Sus scrofa: one gene and its partner. Each later gene encodes a partner of the first gene's protein in a complex. Links are inferred from orthologs where the notes say so. Each region holds a gene or a part of one and is shown on either strand. Other genes may lie near its edges. The genes, in order: ELANE and antileukoproteinase.

Region 1 (8,412 bases):
CTTGGGGCTGGGGGTGTCCTGTCTGGCTCTGTGTCCCCCAGCTCTGCAGCTGCTTGAGGACCAAGCTGTCATAACATGGGATGTGCCCAGGGCCTGTGGGGCTCCTGAGCCAGCCAGGAAGCAGAAAGGCTATCAGGGAGGCAACCTGGAGGGGGCAACAATGCCTGAGCTGACCCCTAATGTGAGAACAGGAACGAAAGGAGAAGACTTGCCAGGCAAGGCACAGGAAGTGCAAGGGCCCTGTGTCAGGGCAAACTTGGGGATGTGGGGGACAGCAAGGCAAGCTGTGTGAGGGAGGTGGCAGGTCAGGAAGGGGTGGGCCAGGGCAGGCAGGGCTCTGGAATGAACTGACTAGAGGAGAGGGCTAAGGCCAGGCAGAGGTAGGGGTAATTGGCCAGTTGCGGAGAAGGCAAGTGGCCGGGGAATGCGGCAACTGAGGTTCAGGGAGAAGGACCCCACCCACCAGCTCACAGGAGGGACACAGCAGAGCTGGAAGGCAGCTCTTTTGTTATAGGTTTACTCTGCTGCCACCTGGTGGCAGCGTGCAAATTCAAGCAAGAGCCAGAATTCCCTGGCCTGTGACACCTCAGCTAACCATCCCAGGGGAGGAGCTGAGACTGGTTTACAGCACCATCAGGAGCTAGCATGTGTTGAGATGAGGGACAAGTCTGAATCCTGGGAAGTGTATGCCAATCAGTGTTGGGGAATGCTGGGAATTCCCCACATTTCCCATGGGCTTAAGGCGGGAAGTGATAGCTATAAAAAGCCCAGGGGGACTTCTGGTGCCCAGCAATGGGGGTAAATGAGGTTTGCTGGAGGGAATGTTGGATTGAGGCCATTGATGGGAACTCAAAGACTCAGACAAAACAGCCCTGGGTGTTTTCTATTTTCCATCAGCGTGTGTGTGTGTAATATGTGTGAGTGTGTGTGTGTATGTGAGAGAGAGAGAGAATGATGAGTCAGGAAAGTTCTGCCCAGCAAAGATGTGCGTGCGTGTGTGCTTGTGTGTGTGTGTGAGAGAGAGAGAGAATATGATGAGTCAGAGGAAAAGTTCTGTCCAGCAAAGATCAGACCCAAGGAGTTCCTACCATGGCACAGTGGGTTAAGAAGCTGATGACAGTGGCTGGGGCAGCTGCTGAGGCATGGGTTCAGATCCCCTGCACAGTGGGTTAAGGATCTGGCATGCAGCTGTGGCTTGGATTCAATCCCTGGCCGGGGAACTTCCATATGCCCCAGGTGGGGCCACAAAAATAAAAAAGATCACACCCAAGAAGGGGAGCTAAGGTTGGGGGCTCTGGAGCCACGGGTGGATTTGCTGGGGTTCTGCAGATTCAGGGAAGGACAAATCCACAGAAATAATAAATAGAAATAATAAACAGGAGTTCCCTCATGGCGCAGCAGAAACAAATCCAACTAGGAACTATGAGGTTGTGGATTTGATCCCTGGCCTTGCTCAGTGGGTTAAGGATCCGACATTGCCATGAGCTGTGTGCGTGATGTTGGTCACAGACACAGTTCAGACATGACGTTGCTGTGGCTGTGGTGTAGGCCGGCAGCTGTAGCTCCAATTAGACCCCTAGCCTGGGAACCTCCATATGCCACGGGTGCAGCCCTAAAAATCAAAAAAAAAAAAAAAAAGAAAGAAAAAAAATAATAAACAGGATGTTTGGGGAGAGCAGGGCCACTCCCCACAGCTCCGGGGTCTCCTGGCCTCCAGCAGTGGGAAGGACACTCAGAGTGTCGTTTTCCTTTAACAAAGATCAAGTGAGGTGCCGCCACTTCGTCATCACACTCTGATGGTGAATCAGGCTCCCCCAGACGCCTGGCCCTGCCCTCCAGGGGGTGGTTAATGGTTAACAGACCCTCAAGGACCTCACTTTCTTACTGAAGAACTTCACAAAAGTTCATTCATTTAATCCTGGGACAATCCTGTGAGTTGGCGACTGATTATCATCACTTCTGTTTTACTTTTTTTTTTTTTTTTTTGCTTTTCAGGGCTGCACCTGCAGCATATGGAAGTTTCCAGGCTAAAAAGCTGAATCAGAGCTGCAGCTGCCAACCTATGCCACAGTCACAGCAACACGGGATCTGAACTGTGTCTATGACCTATACCACAGCTCAGAGCAACACCGGATCCTCAACCCACTGAAGGGGGCCAGGGATGGAACCCGCGTCCTCATGGATACTAGTCGGGTTCGTTACGACTGAGCCACACCAGGAACTCCTATCACCACTTTCATTTTACAGATGAGGAAACCAAGGCACGGAGTTGTCTGTAGCATGAAGTCATGGTGGGCAAGTGGCCACGCCACCCTCTGAACCCAGAAGCCAGGTGCTTAACCTCTATAACCACTGAGAATGGAGTATACAGGTGGTGCTCAATAGAAGCAGCTTTGGTTAAATATCCCTGCCTGAAGCGCATCCCCCAAAGTCTGGACCTCCTCCATCCTGCCCCACCCCAAGATTGGAAACAGGTTGTGTATGCAGCAGGCGTTTAACAAGTGCTCTATGGGATCCTGCTGTATAGCACTGGGAATTATATCTAGCCACTTACAATGGAGCATGATAATGAGAAAAAAGTATGTATATATGTTATGTGTAACTGTCAACTTGATGTACAGTAGAAAATTGACAGAACACTGTAAACCAGCTATGATGGAAAAAATAAAAATCATCATTGAAAAAATAAATAACATGTGCTCTATGGTGGCTGTAACTCAATCGAGAAGGAAGGGAGCTGAGACGGGCTGATGTGCCTCAGCCCAGGGGAGGGACGAAGGGTGGACACTGAGCGTCTGCTGTGTACTGGAGAGAGATGGGGGTTCACCTGCCTGTGGCCACACACCAAGGGGGCCCAGGGACAAACTGGACTTCAGCCCCAGCCTGCTTCTGGGCATCCCTGGGTGCCCCCGCCTGCCTGTTTCTGCAGATGGATCCGTTGGTTCCCTCCCCTGAACCCTGCTCCAAGCCAGGAGAACGTTGCTTCTTGCGACAGCCTTGGCTATGGCCGTTGCAGCTGGAGCAGCCGCCGGGGGGAGGTGGGAAGGGGAACAGGGGCCCCTGGGCTGGGGACTGGCCCTGACGGACCCCATCTCTACTGTTGGCTTAAGTTCTTCCAAGGTCTGGCCAAAGCTCTCAAACTTGGATGGAGAGCCATGGTCCAGCTGCCAGGCCTGGGTGGGAATTTTTTTTCCACTGCCTCAGGCTGGAAGTGGCTTCAGAGAAGCTCAAAGCAGGGGGTGGGGGTGTCCCAGAACCTCTGAGGGCCACCAGAGACTGAGCCTTGGGTGGCAGTGAGTTCCCTGTTAGGAGCCACAACCAAAGAAAAGATGGAAATCAGGCCCCAAGAGAGAGACCCAAGGCTGGAAGAGGAGGTAGCAAGTTACCTTCCTGCTGTGACCTGTGGACATCTGAGTTTGAACCCCAGTTCCCCCACCACATCACTGGGTAGGTGGTTTGCAGGGGCGGAGGGGGTGGGGATGGTGGCTCACTGTGCCTCAGTTTCCCCCTCTTAAATGGGGACCCAGCAGGCCCTGCCATGCCTCCCAAATGTCAGGACAGTGCTGGGGGGCTGCCATTATTACAGGGACCTGGGTAAACCAAGGCACGTGGGCATCCCAGCCAAGTCCTTTGGGCCTAGGTTGGGGAGATTTAGCAAAAACACAGGAAGCTCATTAATTCTGAATGTTGGAAAGATAAAGACTGACTTTATATAGATCAGTATATGCTGTGCAATATTTGGGATATACTTACACTTAAAAAAAAAAAAAGTTTATCTGACATTCCAATTGTATTGTGCGTCCTGAGTTTTATCTGGTGACCTTCTGGAGCCAGCCTGACCCCCTGCTCCCGTCCTCCTCCCGGATTCTTCCCACCACTCCCTCATCCCCCATATCCCCTGCACTGGGAGAGGGCGGAGAGGAAGTGGGGGCACCTGGCCCCACCATGGGGCAACCTCAACGGCCTCGAGGCAGGGGGGTTATAAGAGGGGCAAGGGGATTCCAAGAGCAGAGTCACTGCTGCCCCAGCCCAATCATGACCCAGAGCTGCAGACCCTCCAGCCCTGCCCTGGCCCCGGTCCTACTGACCCTGCTGCTGGGCGGTGAGTGGGGCCATGCAGGTCTCCTAAGGGCATCCAGTCCTGCCTCTCCTCTTACTCTGCACCTTCTTGGTCCCTCATCCTCATGGGGAGTGACAGTTGGGGTGAGGTGGGAAGGTGGGGGTCTCTAGGCACCCCCCGGGGACTCGAAGGTGGGAAGGTGGGGTCTCTAGGCACCCCCCCGGGACTCGAAGGTGGGAAGGTGGGGGTCTCTAGGCACCCTCCGGGGACTCGAAGTGGGTGAAGTCTAAAGCTCTAGCTGCGCCCTGCAGGGGGACCATGCAGGCCACTCCCCTCTAGGGACAGGGTGGCTGCCTTGTGGGGGTTCACTGGCCGACTGACCTTGGCGGGGCTCCTCCGCGCGGCTCACCGCCCCCACCGCCTGCGCCCCCAGGCCCCGCGCTGGCCTCGGAAATCGTGGGGGGCCGGCCGGCCAGGCCACATGCATGGCCCTTCATGGCGTCCCTGCAGCGGCGCGGAAGCCACTTCTGCGGCGGCACCCTCATAGCGCGGAACTTCGTCCTGTCGGCCGCGCACTGTCTGAACGGCTTGTGAGTGTACCCCCACCCCCGCAACCTCAGTTTCCAGTTTTCGCGGGGCCGGGGCTGGGGGCCTCGGCCGAGGTGCGCGGCTCTATGGGACCCCTGCGCCCGCACGGGTGACGACTCAATCGCCTCCTCCTGCCCCAGAAACTTTCGGTCCGTGCGCGTGGTTCTGGGGGCACACAACCTGCGACGGGGCGAGTCCACCAGGCAGAAGTTCAGAATCCAGCGGGTCTTTGAAAACGGCTTCGACCCCATGACCCTGCGGAACGACATTGTGGTTCTCCAGGTGCGAGGCGCGGGTGGGGAAGAACTGGCAGGTGCAAAGGCCCAGCTTAGTTTGGGGAGGGCGGAGCATGGGCAGGAGACTGGGGACACGGTGAGGACAGGCCTGGTGTCCCATCTCTCTGTGCTTCAGTCTTCCCCTCTGTGAGACGGAAATAAGTCAGATGCCAGGACAGCAGGGAAGCTCTGAGCAACTGTCAATCAATAAGGATAGTATTTCTGGAGCCCACAGGGATGAGGCGCAGGGACCTCTTGGTCCGTGGAAATAGGGTCAAAATTCTCCACGTTCATGTGAATAGGAGACTGGAGGGAGAGAACTGTCCTTCCCCACTGCTTGAATAGCTATGGTTATTTTCTGTAAAGTTCTAGAACAATGGCTTTATTGCTGGTGGTGTTACCCATAGTTTTGTTTTCTTGAGTACCTACTGTTTACTGGACTCAAAACATGTCTGGGGATGCCCTGGGTCACAGTGGCTGCTCGCACTTTACAAACAGGAAAGGGTGGGAACCATCCTGCAGGGTGGATATCTGGCTCTCAGATATCCCAGGACCATGGTGGAGCCCTGGGTGGGGGAAAACTTGGGGCCCAGAAAGATGAAGGTTGTTGTTCACTGCCTCCTGTGACCTGCCACTGCTCTGTACAACCTGCTGCAGCTCAACAGATTTGCCTTCATCAATAGCAACGTGCAGGTGGCCCAGCTACCTGCTCAGGACCAAGGCGTGGGGGAAGGGGTGCGATGTCTGGCCATGGGCTGGGGCCAGCTGGGCACGAACCGGCCACCGCCCCGAGTCCTGCAGCAGCTCAATGTGACTGTGGTGACAGCCCTCTGCCGCCCCACCAATGTGTGCACCCTGGTACCAGGCCGGCAGGCTGGCATCTGCTTTGTACGTATCTTGCGTTCCCACAACCCACCCCTTGCTCCCACCCAGGCTGCAGCAACCAAGACCCCTGGAAGAACTTCCAGCTCCTGAAGGGCAGTGGGTGGGGATGTTAGGGTGGGGCCTGAAAGCCCAGCCTCCCAAACTTGTCTGCTTCCACAGGGGGACTCCGGCGGGCCCTTGGTCTGCAATGGGCTGGTCCAGGGGATAGATTCCTTCATCCGGGGGGGCTGTGGCTCTGGGCTCTTCCCAGACACCTTTGCCTCCACCGCCAAGTTTGCAGACTGGATCAACTCCATTATCCGACGCTATGGTGATAATGACAGCCCGCCTCTCCACCCCAGGATCCCTGTGGGCAGGACCCTCTAGAAAGGCGGCCCCTGTTACCCCACTCCCCCCGGCTGGGCTCTTCCCATGCAGCATCATGCAGCATCTGACACAATAAAAACCCTGTTTTGTAGAATGTGCCTGGGTGTTTGTTGGTTGTGCAACTGAGTGTCAGAAGTCCTCAGGTGAATGTCTTGAGCATGTCACAAGTACGCTGCTACCAAGTAGCAGCAAATTTAGTGCACCAAGATAAAAAGTCCCTTCCTCATACTTCACTAAAGGATACCAGTAGCCGTTTCTGGCTTCCCCTCCTATAAAATGTCATTAGACTCTTGTTGCAGGTGGCAAGAATGCAAAGCACTATAGCAGGTGTTCATTCTGAGTCACAAGGATCATTCTGAATCTTTGCAATCTTCACTCATCTGTTTCTGGCTCCAGCCCCTAAAGTAGTTCTTATATAAGTGCCTTGTTTTACAGGCGAGGAAGTAGAGATGCAAAGAACTGTAAAGTCATGCTCCAGGGCCTGGGTTCGAGTCCCAGCTCTGTGACTTTGGGCAAATTGCTCACTGTTTCTCTGATTCTCAGTTCCCCATGGGGAAGACTGAGGCACTGTCTGGGGAGGACCCAATCAGGGGTTGGGGTCCAGGCCAGTCTCGGCCTCACTGGGTACGGAAACAATCCTTCCTCCACTTCCCCAACCTTTTGCCTTGGGACACCTCAGGGTCTTAACTAGTGCTGTTCCCTCTGCCTTCCAGCTTCTCCCTAAGGTTGTCCTCAGAACACCTCTCCCCACAAGGGCCAGCTGCTCAGGCAGGTGACCCACTGCCCTACAACTGCTTTTTCCACTTAATACGATATCTTGGCGGTCTTTCCATGTCAACAAAGCATCCCAGGATCTGCAGGGTTATTTACTGAACCATTCTGTCTTTTTGGGTAATTTCCAAATTTTGCTGCAATTTCCAATCCTTTTACTTACATAATCTGCACTCCACATTCCAATGGGCTTTTGTTTTAGAGTTTCTGATTTGAGCAAGGAAACATTTTAGGGTCTAACAAATTGCATTTGTTATGCTGTTTTCTATTTTTCTCTGTATGTGTGAAATGGTCCACCATGAAGAAAAAAGAAGGAAAGGAGAAAATACCATGCACTGTTCCTCCTGGGGACGTTCACGGTCCTCCCCACCCTTGTGGTTACACACAGCATCTCCCCCGAAGAGGTTCATGAGATGTTGACCCACCATCCCCAGCTTACAGAGAACCATGTGACCCAGGTTCTGCTCATCAGAACCTGCCAACCCACAATGGCTGCTTTAGGGGCATGAGATCCAAACTCAACCAATCAGAGGCCGCCTTGAGATGCTGGCTAGAGTGATGGGGAATTGGCAGAGGGAATAACTGGGCCATTGGTCTGAGTCTAGGGCCCCTGAGGCCACAACAGGGGAGACTGCTGAGGAGACAACCCATCAAGGAGGAAAAAAAGAAACAAAACATTGTTCAGGTGCCTGGATTAAGCTACACCTGAAGGTAGACCCATAAACTTTCCATTTAAATTTTCTTGTTGAAGGTTCCAGCCCCTTACACTCCATTTTTTTGTCACTTGTATGCAACAGTCTTTCCAGCTGTCCCTACTCATCAACAATATTCTACTTAAAGGGTGTCAAGCCCCAGAGTCACAGCAATGTGGACAAGGGCGTTGGATGACCTTCCCCCCCACCCGACCTCAGCTCCAAGTTGCAGGAGGAAGGGAAAGAAGGGAGGGGCAGAAAATGAGGAAGTGGGTTGTTTACAAACTGGGCTTGCTCTCCAGCTGCTGTTGCGAAACTCTGGGGCTGGAAGGGCACTCTGGGAGACTGGGCTGGGGGTCAGGGTGGGTGGGTGGGTGGGTCCATCCCTCTGCTCTGCCCACCGCCCATCCTGAGGGGCTCTTCCCACAGAATGACAGAGGTGGCAGGCAGGTCCAGCAGCCCATCTACTCTTGGTACAAAGTCTAGGGGAAGATAATCACAGCACTGTGGCGGGGGAAGTGGGGGGAGAGAAGGGCGTGGACGGCTTCCCTTTGTTCAGCTGGGCCACTGCCCACTTGGCAGATAGGACCTGTGGGAGCTCCCCCCCCACCCCGTTCCACCCTCATAAAAGAACCCCAGAGCCCTGCCCTGGGCCATTGTTGAGGCCACAGCAGCATCATGGCAGACCGCTCCGGGCACCTGGCAGCCCTGATCCTCCTCGGAGCAGCTGTATGTGGTGAGTGGACCCGGGACTGGGGTGCCAGCTGGGGGCCCC
Region 2 (8,663 bases), on another chromosome or scaffold:
TGTTTACAGCATTAGCACTGTGTCAACACTGTCGCTCTGTAGTCAACCAAACTACTCTTCCTTTCTGGCACAACTTTTTTTTTTTTTGTCTTTTATGGAAGTTCCCAGGCTAGGGGTTGAATCTGAGCTGCAGCTGCCAGCCACAGCCACAGCCATAGCCACGTCAGATCTGAGCTGCATCTGCGAACTACACCACAGCTCATAGCAACACCAGATCTTTAACCCACTTAACAAGGCCAGGGATCGAACCTGCGTCCTCATGGATACTAGTCCGATTCATTTCTGCTGAGCCACGACGGGAACTCCTGGTATAACTTTTAACTTTTTTTCTGATGTGAAAAGATTGTGTAGTTTTGTACTTGCTTGGTTTTCCGTGTACATATCACCTATTCAACCACAAACTCTGCACCAGTTGCCTATATCTCCTTGTTGTGTATTCATATGTGCCAGATATTCCTTTAATTTCACCTTCCAGAAGATGAAGTTCCTGGAGCCCTCTGACCTCCTCCAATCTGGGCTGGTAGCTCTGGGGGTTTTTTTGTTTTTTATTTTTTGTTTCTTCTTCTTTTAAAAAGAGAATTAAAGGGATGTACATGCTGTAAAATTTGGTTGCGATGATGTTGTACACCTATAAATGTAATAACATTCAATAAGTATTTAAAAAATAAAAAATAGGAGTTCCCGTCGTGGCTCCGTGGTTAACGAATCCGACTAGGAATGACGAGGTTTCGGGTTCAATCCCCAGCCTTGCTCAGTGGGTTAAGGATCCAGCGTTGCCTTGAGCTGTGGTGTAGGTCGCAGACTCGGCTCGGATCCCACGTTGCTGTGGCTCTGGCGTAGGCTGGTGGCTACAGCTCCGATTGGACCCCTAGTCTGAGAACCTCCATATGCCGCAGGTACGGCCCTAGAAAAGACAAAAAATAAAAAATAAAAGAGAATTACAATGCTTTTATTTTTATTTTTTTTCTCCTTGAGTGTCTTTAAAATTTTTTGGGGGGCCACATGCAGAAATTCCTGGGCCAAGGATCTAAACCCTCACCACAGCAGCAACCTGGGCTGCTGCAGTGTCAATGCCAAGTATTTAACCAGCTACTCCACAAGGGAACCCCTAAAAAAACGTTTTTTGTTGTCATTGATGTAAAATATTACATGTTACAGGGGTACAAGACAGTATTCACAGTTTTAAGTGGTATACTCCTCTTATGGTTATAGAATATGAGCTATGTTCCCTGTGTAGTAAAATACAGCCTTGTAGCTTATTTTACACATAATAGTTTATGCCTCTTAATCCTCTACCCCTTTTTGCCCCTCCCCCCAACCCCTCTCCCCACTGTAACTGCTAGTTTGTCCTGTCTGTATTTCTGGCACTCAGCTGTCACTCTGAGATGGTCTGTCACCAGCATCATGGGGACTCCCTTTTCCTCCTCTACATTCTATTTTCTGTATTTTGTGCATTTTTTTCTTGGTTTCACCTTAATAGGCCCCCTTTTTAAAAAATATTTGATCATACTTGATTTACAATGTTCTGTCAGTTTCTGGCACAGCAAAGTGACCCAGCCATGCATCCCTATTCTTTCGTTTTTGTCACATTTTCCTCCATCATCTTCCACCACAAGTGATCAGATAGAGTTCCCTGTGCTATACAGCTGACTCTCACTTCTTATCCACCCCCAAATGAAACAGCTTGCATCTACTAACCCCAAACGCCCAGTCTCTCCCCCCGCCCGGCAACCACAAGTCTGTTCTCCATGTCCATGAGCTTGTTTATTTCTGTTGCTAGGTTCATTTGTGCCGTATATTAGATTCCAGGTATAAGTGATATCATGTGGCATTTGTCTTTCTCCTTCTGACTTAATAGGTTTCCTTTTGATATTTAGAACTTCCTGTTTAGAACTGTCCTATACGAACTTCTCACCATGTAGCCATGGTCCAATAAAAGTCCATTATAATCATGAAAGAGCAGTGGGGGTAATTTGGGGGTGTGAGAGAATTTTTTGAGTATGTTAAATGGCAACCCCTCTTAACTGGCTATTTCCCTGACTGCTAAAAAGAGCCCCATCGGTTTATCTCAAGAAAAGTAGCTCAAATGTGGAGTTCCCGTCATGGCTTAGGGGTTCACGAATCTGACTAGGAACCATGAGGTTGCAGGTTCAATCCTGGGCCTTGCTCAGTGGGTTAAGGATCCGGCATTGCCATGAGCTGTGGTGTAGGCCACAGACATGGCTCGGATCTGGCGTTGCCGTGGCAGTGGCGTAGGCTGGAAGCCACAGCTCCGATTCAACCCCTAGCCTGGGAACCTCAATATGCTGCAGGTGCGGCCCTAGAAAAGACAAAAAAAGACCCCAAAAAAATTTTTTAAAAAAAGTAACTCAAATGTGATTCCCTTCACACCGATTTCATTTCTGGCCGCAGAGCTAAGCGGTAGTTGCTCATGCTTCACTGTCCTTCCACCCTCTTTGACTCGAATCCTCCTGAGTGACTCAGTCAGCCACGATCATGCCCACTTCACAGCTGGGAAGGCTGGGGCCCAAAACGGTTTCGACTGCTGTCCCCTCCTCACCTGTCATTCATCAAGGCTTCTCTGTGTGACTGCCCTGTAGGTAGTACATCAAAACAGGTCAGGAGAGAGTGAGAGAAAAGTCACCTGATGTTTGGGGAAGGGAGTGACTCCGGGCGGTGGTGATTTCGCAGCGAATGTGGCAATCCCCAAGAGCCCAGGAGTGTGGCAAAATCAGGACACTTTGAGAGGCCCCAGCTTGCTGACTGTTCCAGGCTTCAAAGAAGCTCCTTTGCCATGTCTTTCTGTTCTGCCCTCTTTGCCCCTCCCTACTCCACCCCAAAGGTGGGTGGTGCAGGGTCCCCTAAGGTGTCCCAGAATGGCATCCTGACCAGCCTGGTGACACCTCCCCCTCCAAGTCCTCCATTTCCCTTCCCGGGCCTCAGGCTCTTGCCTAAGGGCAGAAAAGAGCCATAAACACTATGGGGTCACAGTCCTCACCCAAATTTCCTGCTTATGAAATAGCAGCTGGGAGGGTTCAAGGCAATTCTGAGGGGAACCGCACCCATAGGAGGAGGTATAAAGGGGGAAGCTGCCACAGGCCACCACAGCCCCACCTGCCCTCACGATGAAGCCCAGCAGCCTTTTCATCTTCCTGGTGATATTTGCCTCTGGATTCCTGACGTCCTGGGCTGTGAAAGGGGCTGGCGAAGAGGAGTCGGAGTCTTTAAAGCCACGTCCAGGTACCACAGTCAGTGGTGGCTCATTGTGCGAACAGCCTCTTCTTTTGAGACTGGGAGCTGACCGTCAAGGCATCTTTCCAATGGTCTGGCCTATGCCCCCTAATTTCAAGCTTCTCTCTGAGGACTTCAGCTAAGAAAGTTGCTAAAAATCTACCTTTTATCAGATGGACTTGTTTATTCCAACTCCCGTATTTCTTATTTTTCTTTCTCTATAGAACCTTCTTTACTGTGTTTTTTTATTATTCTTCTTCTTTCCTGCCATGTTAATTTGGTCTCTATCTGTTTTAATGTTTTAAATTGTTGTCTTTTTCTCTTAATGTTTCTTGCTTAATGGTCACTCACTTTCTCGATGTGCTTCTCAGTGGATCTTTTTTCTTTTGTTTAATCTCTGATGCGTTGCCTCTGCTGCTCTCACTGCCCTTCTCTTTCTCCCTCCCAGCCAGCCCTGGGCCTGGAGCATTTGTTCATGGGCTCTATTCAGCCACTTACTGGAGCTGGTTTATGCTGGCTTCAAACGGCTGGCTGTAAAATCTGCAAGATTTATGAGAGCTAGTTGATGTCCCATTGGTAGCTTGAAATTAGCCACGGTGGGACTGTTTATACCATGGGAGTCTGCAGATGCTGCAAAGTCTCCCTCTTAAAACATCCAGCAGCACACGGTCATCCATACCTTTCTCTTTTGTGCCATTGTCTCTCTTTTGGTTGAGTGGTTGGCTGAGTTTGGCACTGCTCCACCCTTGCCTTGAAACTGGAATCCTAATGGCTCCTTTCATTCCTTTGGGGTCAGCCTCCTGGGTTGGGTTTTCTCTCCTCTCCTGGGAAGCTGGTCCCTTGTCCAGGACTGTGGTCATGACTCAACCTCAGCTGTTTCTTCCTCCTTTGTTGTTACCCTTCAGGAAAAACTAAACGTGGATCCTGCCCCTTCATACGCCCTGCAATGTGCCTGGTATATGAACCCCCTGAATGCCAGAATGACTGGCAGTGTCCAAAGAGGAAAAAATGCTGCCGTGACACTTGTGGCATCAAATGCTTGGATCCTGTAAACCCATCAAAGTCAGGTGAGGAAGTAGAGTCCTAAGAAGGGAGACCTGGGAGATTTGAACTTGAGGACATGCATCTTGAAAAAGTGGAGGGGGCTCCTCTGAACTGGGCTGGAGGGTGGGGCAGAGCCAAGGCTCCTCCACCCCTAGCTCTGTATTCTCAGGTAGGCAGTGGGTCAGTTGGTGAGCCCGTCAACCAGCTAACCAGTCAATCAATTAATGAATCAGTCTGTCTGTTAGACACTGAAAGCACTGGTTGGGGCGCCCTTGGTGGGGAGGAATCTCCTTTAGGACATGCACTGGCCTTAGTTTGGGTCCTGAGGTTGAGGAAGAACTGTTTCCATGCATAGGATCAGGGTGGGAGCTTGAGTGATGTCCAGGAAGTGAAGTTGTGGCCTTGTTTTTACCAGTTAAGATCAATCCTGGGAAGTGTCCAGTGGTCACTGGCCAGTGCAAGATGCTCAACCCCATAGACCACTGCCAGAATGACAGCAACTGCCTGAATGGTCTCAAGTGCTGCAAGGGTATATGTGGGAACATATGTGTCCAGCCGGTAAAAGGTAAGGAGAAGATCTGGCAAGATCCACATGCCCCCTGGATCCTATAGTCTCACCCTCCTGGGGCCCTTGCATGTGAAGGAGGATGCTTGATGTCTCCCAGGACTGCTCATTCCATCAAGCAGATCCTCTGCCCCTCAACATCCTTCACTCCCTAGAGTTCTCTAGATAAGAAGCCCTGAAGGTCATCTGTGACAGGTCCAGTTGGGTCCTGGGGAAAGAAGGATTTTTGGAATAAGCCAGGAGGAAGAAGTCATGATACAAGGGGCAAAAGGTCTATTGTTTAATGGCATCTCTGCCTCTGACTGAACGTATGACTATGAGAAACTGACTCTATCTTTTTCTTAGCCTCAGTTTCCCCATCTGTAAAATGGGCACGATTTTATCCACAGAAATACTAAGTGTAAAAGTGCTTTTTAAGACTTGAAGTGCTGTGTGCATTGGAAGAATGTTGCTTTGGTTATGGCCCCAATTGGCTGTGTTATCTGCAACCACAGAAAACTAGTAAGAGGTACAGATGTAGCTCTGGCCCAGTGCCTTGGATTTACCAGAAGAAAGACTGCAGTGTAGTGTCAGTGAAAAGCCTGGATTTTTTCCCCCCAATTTCTAGATCAAAGACCAGCATCATTTCAACTATTCCAGCACCATGCTCTCTCCCTACTTATCCCAAGGAATTTAGTCTGGTGGCAGAAGGACCTTCTTGGTGGGAAACAGAGAAGGCTCACTTATATTGCTCCTGTGCTGAGGCTCTGCTTTATTTTCTCTCCTCAGATGTATCCTTGCCAGTTCAATACGGTTAGGACTTTCCGGTCCATGTGGTCTGGGGATTTCTTTTTTCCCCAAGCCTGAAAAAAATGAAAACACCTTGGTGAAGATGTGGCTTTGTGACCTATACTTCGTTGGGGGCCAAGTTTTGGATATTTTACCTGTGTATTCCCAGTATCCAACGTGAAGTTTGGTACATGGCAGGAAATGTCTGTTGATTGGCAAATAAATAAATGCTCAAGGTTTTCTCTGAAATTCCATCTTCCTTGATTCATTGAGTCTGGTCTAGGATATGAGGGGTAAGATAAAGAAGACCATATCTGGGAGTTCCCGTCGTGGTTCAGTGGTTAACGAATCTGACTAGGAGCTGTGAGGTTTCGGGTTCAATCCCTGGCCTTGCTCAGTGGGTTAAGGATCCAGCATTGTCACTGCTTTGACTCAGGTCACTGCTGTGGTGCAGTTTTAATCCCTGGCTCCAGAACTTCTGCATGCTGCTGGCGTGGCCAAAAAAAAAAAAAAAAAAAAAAAAAAAAATTCAGGGAAAAAAAAAAAAGAAATAAAATATGTGAAGAATTTCTACAAATTAGTTAAGAAAAGCATGGAGTTGCTGTCGTGGCACAGTGGTTAATGAATCCGACTAGGAACCACGAAGTTGCAGGTTCGACCCCTGGTGGCCTCACTCAGTAGGTTAAGGATCTGGCATTTCAGTGAGCTGTGGTGTAGGTCACAGACACGGCTCAGATCCCAAGTTGCTGTGGCTGTGGTGTAGGCTGGCAGCTATAGCTCTGATTGGACCTCTAGCCTGGGAACCTCCATATGCTGCGGGTGCGGCCCTGGAAAAGGCAAAAGAAAGACTGAAAAAAAAAAAGAAAAGAAGCCCACCTCTTAGAAAAATCAATTATGAATATAATAAGCAAAGAAGAGGTAGTATATGTCCAATACAGACATATAAAGAGCTTCGATCTCACTAGTTTTAAAGAAAAAGACAATTAAAACAACCATTTTCGGAGTTCCTGTCGTGGCTCAGCAGAAACGAATCCGACTAGTAACCATGAGGTTTCGGGTTTGATCCCTGGCCTCTATCGGTGTGTTAAGGATCTGGCATTGCCATGAGTTGTGGTGTAGGTCGCAGACAAGGCTTAGATCCTGCATTGCTGTGGCTGTGGTGTAGGCCAGCAGCTGCAGCTCCGATTCAACCCCTAGCCTGCGAACTTCCGTATGCTACGGGTGTGGCCCTAAAAACACAAGGAGAAAAAAAAAAAAAAAGCCAAGCATTTTTACCCATTGTAATGGCAAGAATTAAAAGTCTATAATATAAACTCTCAGAGACTCTAATAGTTTGCTGACGGAAGTGTAAATTGGTACAGCCACTTAGAAGAATGCCTAATAAAACTGAAAATTCACACAAGCTATAATTTAGCAAGTTTCCTTCCAGATATATAAGAAAGAAAAAATATTTGCCAATGGGAACTTAATACGTATATTAAGATGTTTATTGTAAGATGGTTCCAAAGGGTCAGAAATTGAGAACAATCAAGAGAGCCCTTATTTGTGAAATGGTTAAATTTTCATATCTTGATATACTATAGAAAAATAAAAATAAATTTATACAAATCTATGTAAATCTATGGAGACATACCACAGAAAAGTTTGTCCAGAAAATCAGATTAGTGGTATAAACATGTAGTATGAAGTATTCATATATATTTTTTAAATCACACAAAAGATATCAAGGGTTTATGAGTATATACCAAAGAATACAGACCAAATGCAGGATGACGCCTTTCTCTATGGAAGAGGAATTAAAAATGGAACTGGGGAAAATTCCCTTGTGGTGCAACAGGTTAAGGATCCGGTGTTGCCACAGTTGTGGTGCAGGCACGCAATTGCAGTGTGGATTTTATCCTTGGCCTGGGAATGTCAACATGCAGCTAACAAAAAAAAAAAGAAAGAAAGAAAGAAACTGGGAATCTTGACCATGGAAACTGATGATTTATCTTCAAGCTTTAATACTTGAAAATAAAACGAATATATAATCCCCCCACCCTGGGTACTTCTGGCATCAAAGTTAGGGTAGGAGTTCCAACTATGGTTCAGTGGTAACGAACCTAACCAGTATCCATGAGAACACAGGTTCGTTCCCTGGCCCCACTAGGTGGGTTAAGGATCCAGCATTGCTGTGAGCTGTGGTGTGGGTCACAGACTCGGCTCGGATCTGGTCTTGTGGTGGCTGTGGTGTAGACCGGCAGCTGCAGCTCTGATTCAACCCCTAGCCTGGGAACTTTCATATGCCATGGGTGTGGCCCTAAGGAAAAAAAAAAAAAGTTGGGGTAAAACAAATCTGTCTCTCTCTTTTTTTTTTCTTCCCAAAACCACACCCAATGACATGGAGAGCAAGAAACAGAAACCCATCTTGGGTAAAAACTAGAAATTGTACCCACTGGCTACAATATAGAATTTGAGATCAAAATTTCAAATTGGAGAAATTTGAAAGCTAATGATTTGCAGCAGGAGATGTTTATGAGGAGCCCTGTAGAATGTCTAAAGGGCTCCAAACTTAAGAGTAGGATAGAGAGGCAGATTGTAAAGGTGGGGAGATGCCGTTTTAATATCTGTACAAAGAGCAGTTTGGCCTTCAGGTCTACGCCCATATCTTAGGCACATTCTAAGAAGTTGGAGGAGGAGTTCCTGTTGTGGCTCAGGGGTAACAAACCTGACTAGTATCCATAAGGATGTGGGTTCGATCCCTGGCCTTGATCGGTGGGTTAAGAATCCGGCATTGAGGTGAGCTGTGGTGTAGGTCACGGACGCAGTTCGGATCTGGCATTGCTGTGGCTGTGGTGTAGGCTGGTAGCTACAGCTCCGATTGGCCCCCTAGCCTGGTAATTTCCATATGCTGCAGGTGTGGCCCTAAAAAAAGAAAAGAAAGACATTGAAAAGGAAGAACTCTGGACTCAGCCATCCCTGGTCTGGGGAAGCAACGAAGATGTGGTGTTGAGAACGGGACAAACTGAAAAGCTCTTTTGACATACTTGAAAAACAGGGCAATCACAAATCCAAA

The links.
Region 2: the proteins of ELANE (region 1) and antileukoproteinase are in contact, whole or in part, in a crystal structure (PDB 2Z7F), measured with the Homo sapiens proteins. The link is inferred for Sus scrofa from reciprocal best matches to the Homo sapiens genes ELANE and SLPI. Residues at the interface, in NP_001963.1 of Homo sapiens: His53, Phe54, Cys55, His70, Cys71, Asn74, Val75, Pro111, Val112, Asn113, Leu114, Leu158, Ile165, Leu180, Arg182, Val197, Cys198, Phe199, Gly200, Asp201, Ser202, Ala216, Ser217, Phe218, Val219, Arg220, Gly221; in NP_003055.1 of Homo sapiens: Tyr93, Gly94, Gln95, Cys96, Leu97, Met98, Leu99, Pro102, Phe104, Met121, Cys122.

Annotation. Positions count from the first base shown.
Region 1 is NC_010444.4:77,511,625-77,520,036, reverse strand, and holds ELANE (neutrophil elastase), read left to right. Parts: upstream 1-3,918; 5' UTR 3,919-3,945; coding exon 3,946-4,102; exon of another isoform or gene 4,103-4,493; coding exon 4,494-4,650; exon of another isoform or gene 4,651-4,788; coding exon 4,789-4,930; exon of another isoform or gene 4,931-5,068; intron 5,069-5,580; coding exon 5,581-5,811; intron 5,812-5,967; coding exon 5,968-6,174; 3' UTR 6,175-6,268; downstream 6,269-8,412. Other genes in the region: CFD (complement factor D), read left to right, coding at 8,316-8,373. UniProt on the Homo sapiens protein: Serine protease that modifies the functions of natural killer cells, monocytes and granulocytes. Inhibits C5a-dependent neutrophil enzyme release and chemotaxis. Promotes cleavage of GSDMB, thereby inhibiting pyroptosis. Promotes blood coagulation.
Region 2 is NC_010459.5:47,576,005-47,584,667, forward strand, and holds antileukoproteinase, read left to right. Parts: upstream 1-3,076; 5' UTR 3,077-3,125; coding exon 3,126-3,240; intron 3,241-4,136; coding exon 4,137-4,298; intron 4,299-4,690; coding exon 4,691-4,840; intron 4,841-5,608; coding exon 5,609-5,637; 3' UTR 5,638-5,857; downstream 5,858-8,663.